2 linked regions of the Lepisosteus oculatus genome follow. The protein of the gene in region 2 interacts with the protein of the main gene of each other region in a biochemical or structural test. Links are inferred from orthologs where the notes say so. Each region holds a gene or a part of one and is shown on either strand. Other genes may lie near its edges.

Region 1 (10,133 bases), on a different chromosome or scaffold from region 2:
AATTGAGTCATTTCCAATTTTTGTTTCTTGATCTAGTGAAAACCTTTGTTCTCCAGGTCTACTGTGATTATCAGTGTTCTGGATGGTGACAGGCCATGTTGCAAAGCAAAAATACATACAGGTGTATTCCTGCAAATACACAAAGCAGGGAAAGCAACTCAATAGAGGATGGATCATTTTTCTTTCCTTGTATCTAGAGCTGGGCGATAATTCGATAATGATCATTATCGTGATATAATTTTCCTCGATATAATTTTAACAAAAGTTCGATAAATGTTCGATATATATGTTTATGCTTTGCGCGTGATATGCGCATGCACACAAAATACTGCGTGAGTGCGCGTGCACGTTGCAGACCGGGCAGCTAACAGATTTGTTTAATGTTTCTGCTGTTTGGCAAGTGTTTGTTGTGTTCTTAAAATAAAGAGTTGTTTAATTTACCAATTAACTGTCTGGTTTCTTCAAATTTCACTCAGGAGAAAAAATCTGCCTTTAAACTTGAATGAAATAATGATTTGACATTTACCGGGATAATTATCGGTATCGACTGATATGAAAATTTTTATCGTGATAATGTTTTTGGCCATATCGCCCAGCCCTACTTGTATCTAGAGAAAAAATCCCTGCTTCCCTTTGCTTCATGATTTGTACTGATCTTCCTCAAGAAACACTGATTTCCCCGAGTCATTAAACCTTCATAAAGACATACAATGTATATCTAGAAATCCAATCTACCCCCTTTTATCTTCCTTTTTAAATAAACTGAAAAAAATGAGATGAAGGCTTCTTTCACAAAAGTCATTTTGGATGAAATACAATCATGAAACCTTCTAGTTATTCATTCAAGGGGTTACTCACCACACCACTGGAGTTGTGCACACCGTTCAGATTAATCTTGGTCACAAATCTGACAAAGGGAGGTGTCTCGGGGTATCTGGGCCCACATTCCACTTTTAGGCTGTACATCCTGTTCTCGTAGATTGTCTGCAATGACATGCAAGGCGTATGGGTTTGGGGGGTTCAAATGTCCCTCTCTTTCCTCAAGGCAGCTAAACTCAGGTGCCTGATGGTTATGGGAACATCTGGGACTTTCAAATCAATGTCTGAGTGTCATACAGACAAGCGACAGGGCATGATATTAGCTCGGGTTCCTGACTCATGGCCGAAAGATTGGGAAAAGCTAATCCCAGTCGATGAGTGCTCCAATATGGGTTTTAAGCCTCTTCAGATAAAGTGGCATCCAAATTAATAGTAAGAACCACTTTGTACAGACATGAAGGGATCCTGTTTAGTGAGGAAATTCTGAACTGGATCGCAAAAGAAAGGATCCACAGGATGTGGTAACAGATCCTGCCCTTGACTGGTAGTGTGGTAAGACAAATCTGAACATAAACTCTCCCTATCGAGGAGCCTAGATGGTTCCCGGAACACACCAATGTCCTTTAATCTTTCCACCGTAATGCAGGTCCCTAAAAACGCTCACCTAGGTCCCTGCTTTCCCCATTAGTAATTGAGGAAAACCCACACCCTGCCGAAGCCTGTCAGCTATTTTTACCCCAGTCTAGTTTTCTTTAAGATATGTGTGAAATCTCACCCTGACTCACTCTGGAAACAAATCGTGAGGGTCTAACCGGACACTTCCCTGTTCTTCCGTATGGCTTTTATAGGAAAGGCTGTGCACAGGTGGAGCTAGTTGGAGGTGGAGCTACATTTCTCTTCGCCTCCGCCCTGTGGCTCTGTCCTCTTTACACTTCCTAAACCTGAACGCAGGCTATGTCCTTGTGAGAGGAGGAAGCTGAAATGAAGACGTCTGTGGGAGTGACACAAGTGCGATGAGCTAGAGTGATCTGTGGAGCGGACACCTTCACCCAGGAGTTAACTGAAAAGGGTGGATGATAATGAGATATATATATGGAAGAAGAGGATGCTGAATGTGACCTGTGGTCACTCCAAAGCCCATGGCGGCCTGTAGCAGATCTACAGTCCTCCTCACCCTGGGCGGCCCGATGATCATCCCCCTCCAGCGCGTCAGGGTCATGTCTTCGTCGTCCTCCAGCCCCCAGCTCACTGTCCCATCCCCCACGCCCTTCTGCCCTTCCTCCAACTCCTCCAGCAGCCGGAAGTTACGAGGAACCTTCACGCCTGTAGACAGAGAAGAGACTTTGCTGCAGAATCACACCGGAGCACAGACCCTCCCAGCCCTACAGCACAGGAGTCCTCAGGCCAGAGGTGTCCAGCCTTTTCCCCCAGTCTGAGGTGTTCCAGTATGAATAATCCAGATCAAGTACGGAGCTGCGTCAGTATGCGTAGACTGCAATGGAACAAGTAAAGGTTTATTCCATGCTGAAAAGAGAAGACACAACATTTCGGCTGTGGAGCCTTCTTCAGATGTTTCTCATCTTCTCTTTTCAGCATGGAATTAACCTTAAAGTGTTCCTTTGAATAATATATTTGCGGGACTCACCCCTCCTACAATTAACAAACATTAGGCTGTATCCAAACCACACCTAGAAGCACAATTTTTGCAAAACTTTGTTTGTTTTGGAAAAGAGATTAGGATAGTAGGTAGTAGGATTAGGAAGTCATGTCACGTGCTTGCTCGGTTATTCTTGAAAAGCAACTGCACAGGAAATTGTTAGGTTAACAGCAATCAGAATATCAGGTAAGTTTCAGATTTCATTTTAGTCATGTGATTTTTCCAGATTTCTAAGACTTGCAGGAATTCACATGGATGGTAACCATGTATGCCTGGTTTTTAGAAAATGCACATCCACAACAAAGCCTGGAGAGAGCCCGGGTAATCCCAGTTTACTATATCGCAAGGCAACCAGTACAAGCCTATGATGCAGTACGTAGTGTAGGAGGCTGAAAGTGAAGGATGTGACATGTTTCACTATGATACACCGCTGTGCAAGGGAGCACTGCGGTCAGGAACCACTGCCTTAAGCACAAGCTAGTGTCGTCATAAGTAAGCCATGACTCTCAATGCGATATCTTATCAGACTCAACACTGAGTGAAGATCCTGAACTCAGATTTGCCCAAAATGGTCTTGCCTCGGCTAAAACTCAAATTGTATGCTCTGACTCACTGCTAAATGAAGCTGTACAACCCTCAGCACTTAGCCTGGGCTCGTGTTGAGGGTCCTTTTGTTTTGAGTTTGAGTGCTGTCTGTGTGGAGTTTGTATGTTCTCCTTTGGTTTGCTTGGGTTTGCTACGGGTGCTCCAATTTACTCCCACAGTCCAAAGACTGTAGGAAAAACTGTAGGTTAATAAGCTTCTGGGAACACTGGTCCTGGTGTGAGCGTGTGGTGTCTGTATCTGTGTCTGTGTCTGTGTGCACTGTGATGGACTGGTGTCCCGTCCAGGAAGCACCCTGGTTGCTTGCCGAGACAGGCTCCAGCTTCCCCATGTCCTTGAATTAGATGAAGGAGTTTGAACCCAGATAGATGTGTTATGGGGTACAATTCCAAGGCGATTAAGGATACATACAATCAGGTAATTCAAGTGACAAGTGATTTACACCTGCTATTTCTAATCTTCCATCCACACTGAAAATGTGCCTGACACAACACACTGAGCACAGCTGCCTGACACAACATCCTACTGACAGTAAGAAACATCACTCTGCAGCATTGCACAAGTGGACTGACAAACCCAGCAGGAGTGTGACAGACTGTAAGTGCCATATTTCCATTCTTACAGAAAATATATGTGTGGATGAAATATTTAAAAAGTCTAATTTACAAAGGGGTAATATGGATATGCCACTGAGAAAACATCGAGATGCTGCAGAGAAACAAACAAGGGTAAATGAGATTTAAGTGGTTTTGCTTTTTTACACATGAATAGTTCAAATCGCCAGGTCTACAGCACTTTCCGTACGAGTTGGTGGCATCATCTATACCTGCAGAACATCAATGGTCGATTTCGATTCTACGACATTCTCCTAAAACAGGACTTCATTTCATGCTGTTGTATACATTCATATGTGTATTTTACAGGAAACAGGTTTAGCCCTGCCGGCGACATAGCGAACTGGAATAAGCTGATCTTTGCTTTGTTTTTTAAATACTTGATTAAACACACAGATAACATCCGGCACTTATCTTGCCAAATGCGAAGAGACAGCTACCATTTTATGCTGTGTCAACCAGCTAAACCTGTTATGGGTCTCCGTAACTCTCGTTTTAAACCATGTTTGAGAATGACACGCCTCGGAGCACTTACAGGTTGATAACTAAATTTCTGTTAGGTTACATTTTCCAGTATTTTTTACGTATCCCACGTATCTGTTGAATGATGTTGCAGTTTTCAGCTGCTACTGCAGACACAGCGTTTCATTAAAAAAGCTCGATCGCCAGTCTGCTTCCACATTGCTGGCCGGCTCCGCTAAATGATGGAGATATGCTCATTAGTTTGTTTGTTTTTTCCAGTATCACCTTTATTATTAACATACAAACTGGAGATAAAGGCACCCGACATTCTCAACGCGCCTTTTCCTCTTTGATCGAACACCTTAGGTCGCGTTTCAAAATGTATTTATCTGATAGCAAGACTAACTTACCCGATCCGGCGGCCGCCGCCATATTGTCGTTGCCTGTCGGGAACGCGCACGCTGCCATGCGCCGGTGGCCGGGAAAATTCATCGCTTGTGCACGCGCGAAGGCTCGGTGAACGCGCACAGAATGCAGAAGACGCCGCCGCCGCAAAGCGCCGCATTATCCGTGTAGCAGGTGGATTCTAGACGCGGCGATGAACTGCTGGACTTCAGCTTCTCGTTTAAAAGCGCCGAGAGGACATGTGTTAAATCAGTGTAGCGTAGAAACCAGAGACCCGCAATGAAGCAGAAATCTAAAACAAGTGCCGTGTTAATGTGCATTACTTTGCTGCGTCTGCTTCTTTTTACTAAAAGAGGAAGTTCCCTTACAGGAAACAAAATAAATAATGCATGTGTCTGATATGCAACAGCATATTGCACGCTTGCAAAAAGTAAGAAAATCCATAAATGCAACACGCTGTTATTAAATTATCAAATTAAGCGGCTTTTCTAACAATGCATGGATGGATATGAAATAAAGATATTGGAAAATTAAGTACATTAAGGGCATCCTCAATAAGTTAAACGATTTTAACACAACAATCGTGAGCATCAAGTTATCAGCAAAAGATAGCGTTACAAATAACGTTTTTTAATAGTGGGTGCTGTGTCTGCAGGGCTCGTGATAAGTTTTTTTTTAAAAAAAGCATTACACCGAAAATGAGTTAGCTGTAAACTGCCATAAGCAAACCCAAGGTAAATTCACAGATGGCGTTTGTGAAATGGGCACAAATACTATTCAATACCATTAAGAGATGAAGTCTGCTGCTTCTGCAGAACAAGCAGGGTAAAAAAAAAAATCAGTCCAGCAAAACATCCCACTTTTTTGATGAACTTGCCTAGAACTTTTTTGCCCAACGCAGACAGAAGTGACGCTTCTGAGAACAAGACTACCTAATGTAATGTAATGTAATGTTGCTTTATTAGCCCTATACAATTTCTTGCATTAGGAATTCGTCTTTACGCACCTGAACACCTTGCTGGTGTCGTCAGCTCGCCGAAACTGTGCCAGGCGGGGCCTGTACCAGTCTGGGATGGGACGCCTCCAAGACGAAGCAGATCGCACACTTCCCTGTGGACCAGTATTCCCAAACCGTCGTCGCTGGAGGTGCCGTCTTTCAACTGAAGCGTTGGGCCAAGGTCCTGATGACTCAGTCAGAAAAGATCCATAGAAGAGCTTTGTCAAGGGTAGTGGTGTTAACGCTAATATTTTGGCTCACGTTCTACTTTGTGTTTGTAACATCCGGATCGTCCCCCTTACTGTACTGGAATTGCTCATTTCTCACTGCTCCAGCTCATCTGCTGTGTCCTGGGCTCTCTGGCACACAATGGCCGCCTTGGCTCAGCCACGTGAGTGTGGATGAAGTGCGTCCCTCTCCTCCGTGTAAAGGAGGGTTGGGAATCTTCAGTAGGTATTGTCATGCCCTTTCACTTTGCCTGGCCTCTTTAAGTCAGTCAGCCTCGCTCCTGTGGGTAAGGGGCTCCAGAACTGTTAGGCCGGGCCTGATTGCCCCTGCTAGCTGAGAAGAGTTTTAGCTCTAGATCGAAGATTCAAATAGGGGCACAAGGCAAGAGAAAGCCCTTCAGATAGAATGGTCCCAGGTGGCAATTAAAAATCATGATCACGATTAATTTCACCGACACTTATCTAAATCAATGCACATCTCCACCCATTTATATAGCCAAGCAATGCAATCTGAGCAGTGTCTCAGCTGGGATTTTAATTCACAAGCTTCCACTTACAAGTCTCAGCGACTGCTCCAGCATGTTTACTGCGTAAGTAAACATTTTCACCACTGCTTGCCAGGATGACCAGGTTTCCAATAAATTTAGAATTCCATTCTATTCTAGGCTAGGTATACCGTGATAAATATATTTTATAATAAATTGGCAGATATTTTTTTTTCAAATACAGGATGTCAGTAGTCATGCATGCTGCTGTGCAAATATAATTAATGAATGTGCAGCAGAAATTAATATTAATCGGATAAAAATGTTTTGTTAAAAGTGATTCCAAGCAGGTGGTGTTTCACTCTCTCTCTCACACACACACACACACAAAAACACAGTTTGCAGGATAAATGTTTTTGTGCAAAAATGTACCGGTCATAAAGACCTCTTTCCAGCTGTAGAAAACAAGCCTTGAACCGGTCATCCTCCAGTGGAGAGAAACAAAAAACAAAGCCAAGTAGTACACAGTTATTTATTTTTTTTCCATTATAAATATAGTATGTACACTTTTAACATTACACATTTTTTCCTCAAGGGAAGAAAACAGAGGCGTTAAGGCATTAGTTCTCTGATATTTACAAAGGTTAACCACCACAGAGCTACTTCAGACAGATAAAACCACACCATTGAGAATTCTTCCCATGATCCTTGGCAATGCTTTATATTAAATGAGCAACATGGAGTCGTTCCTGCAAAGGCTCATAATGGCTCTAAATTCAAATGACTTCATCCGGAACACAGCAATACATACATGATAAATACCATCTTAACAAATAACTAATGTAGTCCCCTACTCCAAAATTATTCTTAGGAGGAGATTTTAAGAAATGAAAAACTACATCCTCTTGGGCTTTAAAGGATAATAATGAGACTGGATGATTTAATTACTAAGACAAGTTCATGTTGTTCTTTTCAACTGTTATTTTCTAGGTATAGTTGCCAGTGGGAAATAAGCTATTCCACCTATTCCGAAGTACTGTATTAGTCCATCATACTGTCTGCAGAAACAGCCTCCAGGAAAGGGTGGTTGTCTGATATATCAGCTGAAAAATGTCAAGGTCTGCGAGGTAAGAACTCAAACGGGGGGAAAAAGAAATCTCCAACAGAAAGGCTGTGATTTGGCCTGAGGACACAGCTTCTTCCTGTTCCCATCAACCTCGGGCACGTTCTTTACCGACTTTCCAATAATGTCAGCATGACCTCAACACCTGGTCTTGCCACCTGTAAGCAGAATGGCAAAGTACTAGAGGCACATGAAAAACACAACTGATACGCTCCCAAAGTGAAAAGGTTCCCTTCAAGTTCAAACAACTAGTCTGCGGAACCACCAAAGAGTCAGATGATGTCCTTGACTCTTTGAAATACCTACGCATTCTACAGCTATTTCGTTGTGTCCATGGACACATTTTGCATCTCCTACCACTGCCGTCTTTGCAAATACAAAATAATAACCATTATCCTCAGCCATGACCAACAGCTCAGGATGACACAAAAGAAACCGCAAGCTTGTGCCCATCAAGGCACAATAACAGCCACAAGTCTACCGGATTTCCACTGAGAAATCAAGGATGTTGCCCCTTTTCTTCATGGCCTGCACATGTACAGAAACAAGGCGCTCTGGGAGAGAGACTATTACCTTTTTAACTAAACCGCAATGTTCGCCACTTTTGAATTTGAAATCTTTTGCTTTGATATTTTGACTTCCCCCCCCAAACATGAAACATTTTTTGAGAATCCAAATTTCTCAGCTGCACCATCTTAGCAGTAGCTGCTTAACATTATGGGCATCCATTGGCAACTAGCACTGCTCTTAAATATCAACTCCTCATTCAGTCCAGTTCCTCTCTCATGCATTATGCAACTCGCTCATATAATACTAAACATTGTCAAAACTGTGGTCTTGCCAATCAACCACATTGCAAGGGACTGTTTCCAACACAACTACCAGGCACACTCAATCCCAGACAATGTCATTTTCATTTCAATGAGAAGCACCCAAACCATCTTCAACAGAAGATATTATGTGCTTTTCATTCAGAGAAAGAATTCTGAAAAAGAAAGCACTACTGTACGTTACAGCAGGCATAACTTAAAGATAACATTTGCTTTATGCTTTAATGTTAGTTCTACAGTATCACCCGTCTTCTTGTAACCTGTGCCTATTTTGTGTGAGTTCTAGAAACGGCACAGCTGTTAGCAAAAAGGTTTCTACAGAGAAGCCAGGTTAGAGTTGTAAGAATTTTGAGGATTTACACAGCATACTATTTTAGTGAGAAGTATCTATAACTTCCATTAACTACGCCAGCTCAAACCTGTAAGCTCTGAAGAGAGCTGGCTCCAACTAGATTTAAAAGTGCATTTTAAGTAAATATATCAAATGAAGATAAAGAAATGGTTATCTTGCACTTTGGGTAGCCTGCTAAGCGATCCAAGTCTGCAGTTTTGACAACAGTCACTTTTTTCCTTTTCATTTCTCATTTGCTATCGGACATTCAGATTAATCTTCTTTTTCCTGCAAGGCAGAAATACTTAAATATCCCATATGTGATTGAACATCTACTTTTAACCTAAAGACCCTTTCAATTTTGTGTTTCAGGAGGCATTCACACATATGATCCGTGCAAAGTTTTTCTCTAGCTGTGCAACCCAAATAAGAGAGCTAATTAAAAAAAAAGTATTGAACTAATTTCACATACGTTAATGCATATCTGATATATCACCATCAGCTCTGTTATTCTCCACTTAAGTGTTATTTCCTTTCTTGGATTCCCATGAAACTTCACTTTTGGTTCCCTGCAAGGCAACTTTTATTTTAGATTTTTGCAGTTCTTAGATATGCCCACCAGAAGAAAGAATGCAAATATGTGTTGCCTATGCTAACTTTCTAGTTTTGTTAATAGTGCTTGGATACAGGCTACCAAGTTAAAGACAGTAAGTCCCTTCATTGCAATTGCCAATTTCAGTACAGTTATGAAAAGTGGAACCTTGTGCTTTTTCTTCTGGGGTGCTTTATCAAAAATGCGGAAAACATGCTCAGCTTATGTGCTTATAAACTGGACTGGGACCCGAAATTGGTTGCATATACACACAAAGTAAAAAACATGAATCCCTTTCCACTTAACTAGGGCCCTAGCATCAAAGTGCTCAGCTGCTTTGCACTACAAAGTTGCTAAAACAATTTTAAAAAAAAAGTTAACTTTATGCTCTATGTAACCGACTGCCAATTTGTATTTCCGAGTCAGTTTGCTGACTTAAAAACTAAATATCTATATCTCATTAGGTCTCTAGAAGCCTTGTAGCAAGAGGGCACCTGTTCTGTGGAAAATCTGAAAGATTTTTAGGGCCGCTGGTAAATGGGGGAACAAATCATAAAAGCCATCAACAAGTGAAGAGTTCTAAACCACAACAGCAGTGGAGATTAGAGAGATTAGCTCTACAAATATTGTTCCATACACAGGTCTTTATCTCCAGAGACATTTATCACATTTATTTATTTAGAAGGTGAGTCTTTTTTTCCCTTGCAGTTTCTTCCTACAGAACCGCGATAAGAAGTTGTGAATATGTCATTTTGGCCAGTTTCTAAATGCCACAGAGATCTAAAAGCTTTCCCTCCGACCTGCCATCAACACATGTTAACCAAACCGACCCTTTGCTTCTCATACAGTACAAAGCAGGAAGAATTCATGTTTTAAGAGCAAACCGAATCTGAGTTTTAGAGAGGTACACTGGCAAAAAAAAAAAATTGTTGTGGTGGTGCTTGAAGATACTGACTGGATATCGGAGAAAAGGGAGTTAAAAAAAAGA
Region 2 (10,133 bases):
AATACACCAACGTGGTAATAAAACTCCTTTGCCAACGTTTTCAAATTTCAAAGGCCTTTCTCTTAAAGACCTGCTTAATTACCGGAGGAGACATTTTGGTTTTATGAGAAAAAGCCTCTATAACAAGGGGGATCCCTGAATACCCTCGAGTTTCGGAAGTGAGATCTGTACGACACTGTTTCGTCACACGGCTTGCAGTCTTTGAGCACAGACCACACTGAGGTTGGAGGAAAAAAAACAGGAAACAGATCAGGTTGACACAGTTGGTAGGCACAAAAGGATGGGTTTTTTTTCTGAAGACTTTAAATCTCTTGTGGTCTAGGAAAACAACCTTAGCCTTTAAAATACTTTTAAGTGTTGACAAAAATGATTACTTTAACTTTGCCATCTCTACTTATTTTTTTCCATTGCCACCAAATTTGGAATCACCGACTGTCCATCAACGAGGATCAACACCAATCATCCTTGTTGCTGACCGTGCAGAACTACAGTATTCACTATTTTACCCACAGTGCCATGTAGGACTGCTTTCAGGAATGAGGCACATTGACTCAAACTCACCCATCCTTGAGTCAAGAAATACATTGGTTTGGTCAATTATAACCTGTAGAATCCCAGTCACACATAAGTACTGTACATACACTTCAGGTCCAAGTCAGTGATGTCTGGGCTACAGGACTCAACTTACACTGAGCATTCACCTTCTATTAATCAACTTCTCCACTAATGATGTGTGACTTATGATATACAGTAGCGCTCATGCAACATTCAGTCTCGAGTATATCACATTCTGTCACGAAGAATTGATTAATCAAAGTGATGCCAAAAACAATCAAGATTCAGAAGCTGTGTTTTTCTAAAAACATGCAAGCGGAAACAGGTATAAACGTTTCTTTCACTTTTCTGTATATATACCCAACTTAATCCAGTTCCAGTAACCACTTACCCAAAGAGGGTAACAGTGAGCTAAAAAGTACCCTGGCAAGCTCATGGTACAAAGTGGAACTACACTCTGGATGGGACACTGATGGATATACAGTATTTTACTTTACATTAAGTACAGCAGATTTCCAAAGCCCTTGACTGCTTCTGCTTCCACCTTGAACAAGGGATAAGGAAAACATGCTTCCTAGGAATGCAAAGATTTTATGGGTTTCCTAATCCCGGAAAAATGTTCCGCTGACAACTGGAAACACATGACGCAGAGTAGAACAGACAATGAACAGGCAAGTTTTGACACAACTGGTCCTGTTCATAAAAAAGAAGCCCAACAAAAATTGCAGAGTATAACTAGCTGAATATAAATGCAGGATGTGAGCAGATACCTCATTCAGCATAGAAGAAAAATCTTAAAACTTAAATTCAGGACAGACTTAGCGTTGTTGGAATTTCCACTCCAAATAGCCTTTTCTTTGCAACAATTAAGCTCAATATTTAATAAATATAAACAAATTTACTGACATACTAAGGGTGCAAGCTAGACTGCTGAGCATCCAAATACTGCAGTTTTTCTCAGTGAAGGGCACAACTTTAGAATATTTTAATGTTAAAAAACAAACTATTCAGGCAGCTGTTTAATTTACTTATGGATCCCATACAGCCTCTTACTTCCAGGTGAGTACATTTGAACGATTCTGTGTGCATGGAAGCAAGTTCTGCGATAAAAGAAACAGAAACTACCTTTTATGAAAGAAGTGACATTTTTTCCGCTGAAAACTGCAGTGAGTGCTAACAAACTCGCAGTCTGACCTACTTTTCACAAGCAAGCGTGTTCCTCACAAACTTGACCGTATTTCCCAGTTCTGGTGTCGAAGGCTTGTACAAAGCACTGCACACCAGGGATACGAGAAAAAAATGACAGCACATGCACTTGCAAAGAATTATGTTAAGCTGTCTTTTTCATAAAGAGGTCTAAGAGGAGTAACAGAGGCAAACACAGAACAAGACATAGGCTTTCCGTCCTTTGATGGCTTCAGCCACACACATATAGTGCAATGAAGGCTTCGCTTTAACTAAAAGTACATCATAGAGATGTGCAGGGCTGCAGGGTGAATTGTGATGCTCCTGTGGTTGGATAATTGACTCCATATCTTCTCACAGAAAACAAAATTACCAGGAATTCCATTCGGAATAAAAGACATGACCAGAAGTACTTGTGGAGGGAGTGTTTTTCTGATGCTCTGGAAAAACAAAGCAACTTGATTTCTTCAGATACTGTGGAGATGACAGTCTAGGAACGGGGCCAGAAGACATTGGTTTCTTAATGAAAAACACACAGTGGACAAGAGAAACTCTGCATTAAAGAGTTCTCTAAAAACAAAACATAAAACTAGTCTGAGAAGGTAGGCCAATTTGTACAGACCATGTCAGCAATGTGTCCCGTTCTGCCTGTGTCTTTGTGTACTGCCCCTGGGGTTAACTCACAGCTCCAGAAAGCATATTTTTACTGTAAAGCAGGCAAGACAACATCCCACAGATTACGCAGGAAATACGTCATCATAAAATTCCCAAACCTGACGTTGGAGTGCATCCTGGAGGGGTTTTGTGAAAGAAGGGGGAGGGAGGGCAGTGACATCACAGAGCGTGGTAATAAAACTCCTTTGTGAATCAGCATCCAGGGAACAGAGCCCCTCTGCTAGGGAAACCCAGATGTGTGGGCTTCTTCCTTCAATCCTGACTGATGAACCTACCTTAAGTTTATTTTTTAAAAAAATCAAAAAGATGAAGCAGTGATGCTGCTTCACCACTGTGGCTGAACGACATTCACAAGTGACGTTGATATCAGATAGTGCACAGAGGAGACGTTTTAGAACCTGTTCTTGCTGGAAGGGGAAACTAGCACATTACCCAAGTCAAATTTCGGAATTAGAGAACCAGGATATGCAACGGGTACAAAAGGCCAGTAAATGGAATATCAGGATTGACTTACGTCCACCCGTTTTCATTAAAACACTTAGATCCATATGGGGTCACAGCAAGCCACATCCCAACTCAGGAGAGATGGGTTACACGAAGAACAGGATGCCCCAAAGACAAGAGCTGTGAGGCAGCCACCCCGATGTGCCTCAAGGTCCTCGAGCACAGCCAGTTAACAAACTGGACAGTCGTCCGCAGCACACCAGCAGCACCAGCGCATGGGCAGCAGGCAAGATCAGAGACACGACAAGCGTACTCATTCAGAACCAGCTTTCCGACCCGACTGGATAAGCAAGAGGAATCGTTCTAGGTTTATGTTTTCTCTTCCTACGCACTTGGCTGCAAGACACAAAAACTTCAGATTTTACTCTACAGAAGAATTTCTATCCCCTGTGGTCCAGGCATACAGATATTAAGTTTCTCCAACCCTTGGCAAAACTAAATGTGATCTGCCCTTACATTATCCTCAGACTAATCAGTAGCCTGCAGGCACACATCTGCAACATACTTGTTTTTTTAAACTCTAAACCTACACATTCATATCTACAACACATAGGGGAAAAATGAAATTGAGTCTACCCTCGCTAGACATTTCAGTGAGATCCAATATCCAATATGATCACATGCAGGACTCTTTAACAATGATCACTACGTTGTCTATGCATTTAATTCTATACACTGTACTTGCTTTTTACACAGCTAAGGAAAAACTATGAACCGCCAGGTGTTTAAAGCAATGCCCATTATGGTTATGCAACTGTAGGCACGTACCTATTACCTGGAATGTGTATTTGTTTAAAAAAGGGATGCACTATAGAAACTATTTGAAATGTATCCAAACTGCCAGAGCTTGTGTAACAGCTGATACAGATCGTGTCCGATTAGCAAACCTGCATGCAGCACATGGGAGAGACGGAACCCTAGCTAATGAGCTAATGCCACTGCTTCTGTCCTCATGCTTTTTGACACGAGCATTGGTTCTGCGAGGCTATCTGCTTTGGCAGCAAACTCGTGGCAGAGCCACTGCACTAAAGTACGGCTCTTCAGAACCCCTGTGCGAGAGGCAGCGTACAGGGGTGATCTCTTCCTGGAAGTATCTGGTGAACTTCTTCGCTTAGGGCAGACTGAGTGACACAGACACACACAGACACACACAGACACACACAGACACACACGAGACGGCAGCCCAGACCCAGTGACTTCTCTGTCCTTACAGCACAGCCACTGCCCCTGCTGGTATAACAACTGCCCTGAGCTTTCGCTTCATTGTCACTGCAGTCCTGCTCAGGCCAGACCGTGGGGAACAAGGAAACCCACCTCCATGTGTCCCCTTAGGCACTGCTCTGCCCTACAACCTCCTCTCCTCGCGAGTGCCCGCGTGCAACGCGTCTCCTTTCGGCACAGCTGACAGCACGTGGCCATCTGGACGAGCGGAGATGGGGCCTGCAGGAACCCCTTCTGCACCCCTGAACCCCTCTATCTCTCTCTCTCTCGGCCGCTCCAGGACTCCCAGGTTCTCCCGCCAGTCACGCGACGCCCTACTTTGAGGCGCCTCTCAATCTAACACACGGCTTAAGCGCTCTAAATCTTGACACCGCAGTCCCAGGAAGTATTATTAGTTGGCGATTTCAAGTCTGCCCTCAGCAATCTGATGGCGACGCTTCAACTGCGACAACCTGATACCCTCGTGCAACTCCCTCCTGGCCAACACCCCACCGGCGTCCACTTGTGTGGATCCCTAATCGGCCATCTAACACACCCTCCTTCTGCGAACAAATGGACACGAATAAACTGTCGCCACTGAAAAATGATCCCAGGGAACTTTTTTTTCCAAACCATAAGCTGTATCCAGGCCTATTTGGGGTTCAGGTCTTCCCGTGCGACTGAATAAAAGAGAACACCAGTGACCATTTCTGGCATGGAAACACCAGTGTGCCACCGCAGCTATTAATAACCTGCCAAACACAAAATACAAACAAAAGAGCAGCCTGGCGAAGATTTCACTCAACTCCAGTAAGGGGGTGACCAGAAAAAAAAGAACTACCATTGCTTCCTTATGAACTGACCTTGTGGGGGTCCCCCCCCCCTGTTGAACAAATAAAGTTTCAACGCGCTGACGATTAAGATAAAAATTCAAGACTCTTTAAGGTGCATAATAATTCCAGATCAAAGGTTTGGGTAGGAGCGGTGAACAGACACTCGAAATCCGCGATCCCTGACTTCTGCTGCGAGGGGGGCAAAATGCGATCGGCACGGAACAAAAGAACATCCACAGATGCCCAGCCGGGATGGATGCAAATCAGTTTATCCTTTCGGGGAACAATAGCATCGCGCCTATGTGCCGTGAGACAGCGCCGAGCTGAGCGAACGAAATAAAATAAAATAAAAAAAAACCCCAACAACTTGACAATCGCCCAGTTCGTCGAGATTTAACAGCAAGCGTTTACAATCGCTAATTTCGTCAAATGACGTGCTCACCCACAGCAAAAAAAAAAAAACGCTGGTCGGAAACGAAGCTCGGTTACAGTGCCGAATGCTGAACGTGACAATTGCGCTGTCACCCTGCCCTTCTTGGGCAAGAGCACAAAGAAAAAAAGTTAGCTGTACACAATAGCACGGTGTAATGTGTCTTTTCAGCAATTAAGCAATATAAGCGCTTCCCAGATCTCGTTTCTAAGGGGGGGGTACAAGCGTTTCAAGCCAAATACTAGTAAAAACAGACCGGTTCGCTCTCCACAATAGGAACCGTTACAACGTACAGGACTAAGAAACCCCCTCTCTCCCCTTGGAAGAGTGTGCGGTCATGGTTCACTCCCCGTAAATAATGCCAACGTGAACCACAAGCTAATCGACTCTGTTCATTTGCCAAAGGAAATAAATAATATGGAAATCAAAGCGCCAAGACAAACAAATCAAAACGCTCTTCGGTCTGTGAACGATTCACCCGTGATCACACCGCGCACGGGAACTGGGAAATGTTGGAAAAGTGCACACACGGGCGATTTGGGTTTTTTTTTCACCCTTCGCCTGTGTGTACGGCAGAAGAAACAAAATCACCTTCTGCAGCTTAACGCCTCGCAGGCGGACAGCCCCGTCGAGCTACGGGAAACATCACGCAACCGTCACCGGGCTTTGGGCAGCAGTGAGGACCGCGTTCAAGGGAGCCCTGCATCAAAAGAAACCAGTGCCGGACGGGCGAAGCGCCTCGGTCCCGTCGGCAGGGTTGCGGACTGACAGCGCAGACCCGCTCGGTCCTGTCACTGCTGGAGCAGCAGCTCCTAACAGCGGGCTGCCCGGCGCTCGGTGCCAGGAGAAGCAGGAAGGACAAAAGGAAAGAGTCGCTTTCGTGCTGCTGCTGCTCTTGCTCTCGGACTTACAGCGGCGGTGCGTCGTGACTCCCTCGTCGCTCCTCGACAGCTCGCTGGCTTCTTCTCTGTGAGTCTGTGCGTAGCGGGCGAAAACAATCAAGCACTCCGTCCCAACTTGCTGTGACAAAGGCAAGTGAGCGCAGATCCGCGGCTGGCTGGGAACGAAAACGGGCGCATTGAACTTATAAGCGCGTCTTTTTCCTCTCTGCTCTTTCTTTTTCGCTCTTAAATAATGGATCGATTACACGATCTTAGTGCGGGTAATCGGATCTGACCATCATAAGCAGTGTCTGGCCCCTTTAGGTCAGAGTCACAAATACCTGCCGCGTCACTGATTTTCTTCGCTATGGATTGTGGAAATTGTAGTCGTACCTGCTTTCTCTCGTCGGGACATGGAAACAATTCAGGAAGTCAGCCAATTGGACTACACTACCCATGATGCTTCTCGACGGGAAGCGAAATCAGCTGGTTAGGTCACTTTTACGACCGCGTGCCTGGAGAGGAGCACAGAATTAAGATAGGGGCATCGATTTCATTATCGTTCCCTGTGAAGAGTTTGGAAATTTCTCTGTGTTTTTCAGATTAATAGTAAGTATACATTTTATTTCGAAGCTGTGAGATTATTAAGTTAATTTTAATATCTTATTACGTACTAATATATGCATATTATGTTAATTTCTGTTTATAGATATGTAATACACATTTAAAAATTATCTTTGCATGTTGTTGTCTTTACAGAAATATTTATGTAAAGCATATGTATTACATCCATAACAAAGTACACATACATTGCCTGTTGAGATGTCTTTTTATTGCAGAATATTGCAATATAATTTGATATATTTAAAAAAATATTGCAACGTATAAAAAATATTGGGAAAAACTGTATGCACCTTTAATTTATTTATTTAATAAAAATAATAATTTCTGGCATTTGTATTGTGCTTTTTGTCCTGAAGGATATTACGTGATGGTTTATTACATATAGGAGGGGTCCCACTTCACCCACCACTGAAATGCAGCCCCCACCTGGGCGACAAGAAACAGCAGATCGGGTGGAGAGGCAGGAATTTACTTCATCAGTTGAATGAATGGGGAGCTATATTGTGCTAAACCAGAGTAGAATTTAACCAGGACACATGGGTAACGCCCAACTCTTACAGCCAGGGTCGTTCATCATCAACAAAGCTATGAAGTGACAAACACCAATTTGTACTAAATCTCTCTCATACTAGCGTTTTGGGAAGACTAAATTCCACACCAGCTTTTACAGAATACATCAAAATGAAAGAAATGTATTATTGATAAGAGCACAGTTGCACATTATAATCCATAATTTGTTCTATCAATTAAATCAAAATACATGCACAGGTTGCAGTAAAATTGCTGCACTTTTTTTTGCCAAGAGCAAGATGTTCATTTGAGGCTTTAATAGCAAAATGAGATGGCTTTGACATTTTCTGTCAGCTATTACAAGATGACGTCTGTGACCCTTGTTACACTGCTTTTTAATTCTCTGGGGCTTTCGAAATATGCGTATGGTGATACAGTGTCCAGTTTACCTAACCTTAAAAGGAAGACAGCACTATCACAGTTCTTAAGATGGGAACATTCTTTAAAAAAAAAGCTCTGTGGTCAAGGCTATCAAAAAATACAGACGTTTCCAGTTCTTTAGTGTTTTGCAGTTAGAAAACCAGCCTATCAGCTAATAAGCCAGGCGGATGTTGATGAAAAGAATGTAACACAGAGTAGTTGTAAAAAAAAAAGATAATTCAGAAGGCAGATGTAGTTTTGCTGATATGTGCTGATATCAACACCTTCTTATACAAAAATAGCAAGCGCTCAGAAAAAAAAGGTGCAAATTCATGCTTTTTTTAACTGATGCTGTCATGGAGGGTGGCTCTTGCATCCTTGAAAACATTTAGTCACCACGCTCACCTACCACTCCACTCCCACTGCCTGGTGAGCAGTGACAGGAGACTGGGACAGAGGAGGGCAGGACCAGCACGAACGCCTGCAAATGGAGAATCGATTGGGCTGAATTTATTAGATACCTTGAACGTGTGTTCGGTGCCGGCCCTTTTCCTCTCCGGTGGAATGAGGGAGAGGAAGTCTGACCTTGCCTTGACCTTTGTGAGCCCGATAACTGGCTGCAAATGAAGCAGACACCCCTACTCCCAACCTGGGCCCCCCCAAAACAGGAAGAATACTGCTAACAGCCTCTTCACATTAAGGCTTGTTTTAAACACATTTGTTCCAGAGGAAAAAAAAACTTACATTTTCTTCACTGTGAGGACATCATTGAGTGGTGGGATATGAATCAAGTCCTGTTACTGATCTCAGAAAATCATCTAATAGGCCCACATTTGATTTCACATCTATTTTTCATGGTAACGCATTATTGTTTAACATATGCAATAATGTAGTATGTTGAACAAAATACAGTATAAAATGAAATGTAACTCCACTCCTTGAATGTGCTTTTTTATTTTTATATATTTGCATCCCTGAAACACCATGAGCGCTTTCTGAAATGCGTGTCAGGAGCAGTTGAAGGAAACATCTGGGGTTTTTATTATTCTGCAAACCAGTTCCTTGACTCCTCCATGCCCTTTCCAGATCTGTGCTTTATGACCGCTTTACGTGTGCATTAAATTATAGCTGTCCACTCAACTGTTTGCTATTTCCCTCACGCTCTTTCAATTCAGATATTCAGCCATCAGCCTCAGATCATTAACTCAGACACTTGCTCCCTGATCAAGGTGGAAGTCACACTGTTGAGCGATTGTAATGATTTACATTTGGAAAAGCCGAATTGTGCAATACATGACAAACAGCAAAGAGAGTTATTCATTTAAATATGTCTCAATAGTGATAAACAGAATATTATACCGTAACATAATTCTTATTTTTTTCCTACTGAGAGACATTTTCACATTTTTCCATCCTTTAACTATCTCTAAAATTGCAAAAAACAAAACAAAACCGTTATGCATGTGCATCATGCTTGCTAATCACTGGCTAGTAAAGAATGTTTTTTTATTAGTGTCACTATAAAAAATATTAAAAAATAAAATAAAAAATTGAAAAGACAAAGGTGCACCCTATTGCATCTTTCTGTACTGGATATATTGGATGGGGCATTGTCGAGAAATGATAAACTGCTTCTGCACCTAGGTATGAAAACTTGTAATTCTTCAATCATGTGACTTTTCTAACCCTGTTGCTTTGCCTTATTGACCTTGCTGACATGCAAATCATCAGAACTGAAAGACAAGTGAACTATATCTGTTATTGTGTAAGATTTCAGTCAAAGAGTTCTGAGTTCCAGGGGCTGGTAATACAACATTTTTAGCTTCCGATAAAGTAATTCTAAAGAAGTCTAAGGCAATTCCTTTGGAACTGCAAGAGGGCCCTTATCTCAGAATTATTAAAGAGCAATAAACAGAGCAAACAGCATTACCATTACAGTATTTTCTACAGTTGTTTTTCGTACAGTATATCGCATTTGAACTCTTTTTTTCATGTCCAGCAATTTCACTGAGAAGAGATTTATGAAATTAGACTTTGAGTGATTGAATGTAAATATTGTGTCTGTGATAGCTAATTTTATACTTGTTTGGATTTCTAGCTTTACGTGTAGATTTTTATTTTGAGAAGTTTAAAATGTTTCTTGGTTTAGTACAACGTTTTACTTCATACTTCCAGATTTTCTACTGAGAAAATCCATAGGTCAGGATATTTCCTTTCTCTAAACTCAAGACTAAGGATTGCAACTGTAATGGATAAGGATTGCTAGAAACTCCATTGTATATGTTTAGATCACAGTAGTAAGCACATTTCCTCATA

The links.
Region 1: the proteins of peli1b (region 2) and ube2v1 form a complex in vitro, tested with the Homo sapiens proteins (3 studies listed by BioGRID). The link is inferred for Lepisosteus oculatus from reciprocal best matches to the Homo sapiens genes PELI1 and UBE2V1.

What each region holds. Positions count from the first base shown.
Region 1 is NC_090711.1:12,182,762-12,192,894, reverse strand, and holds the start of ube2v1 (ubiquitin-conjugating enzyme E2 variant 1), read right to left. Parts: upstream 4,666-10,133; 5' UTR 4,648-4,665; coding exon 4,566-4,647; intron 2,143-4,565; coding exon 1,994-2,142; intron 985-1,993; coding exon 859-984; intron 1-858. UniProt on the Homo sapiens protein: Has no ubiquitin ligase activity on its own. The UBE2V1-UBE2N heterodimer catalyzes the synthesis of non-canonical poly-ubiquitin chains that are linked through Lys-63.
Region 2 is NC_090712.1:9,280,415-9,290,547, reverse strand, and holds the start of peli1b (E3 ubiquitin-protein ligase pellino homolog 1b), read right to left. Parts: upstream 6,633-10,133; 5' UTR 6,294-6,632; intron 6,258-6,293; exon of another isoform or gene 5,974-6,257; intron 1-5,973. UniProt on the Homo sapiens protein: E3 ubiquitin ligase catalyzing the covalent attachment of ubiquitin moieties onto substrate proteins. Involved in the TLR and IL-1 signaling pathways via interaction with the complex containing IRAK kinases and TRAF6.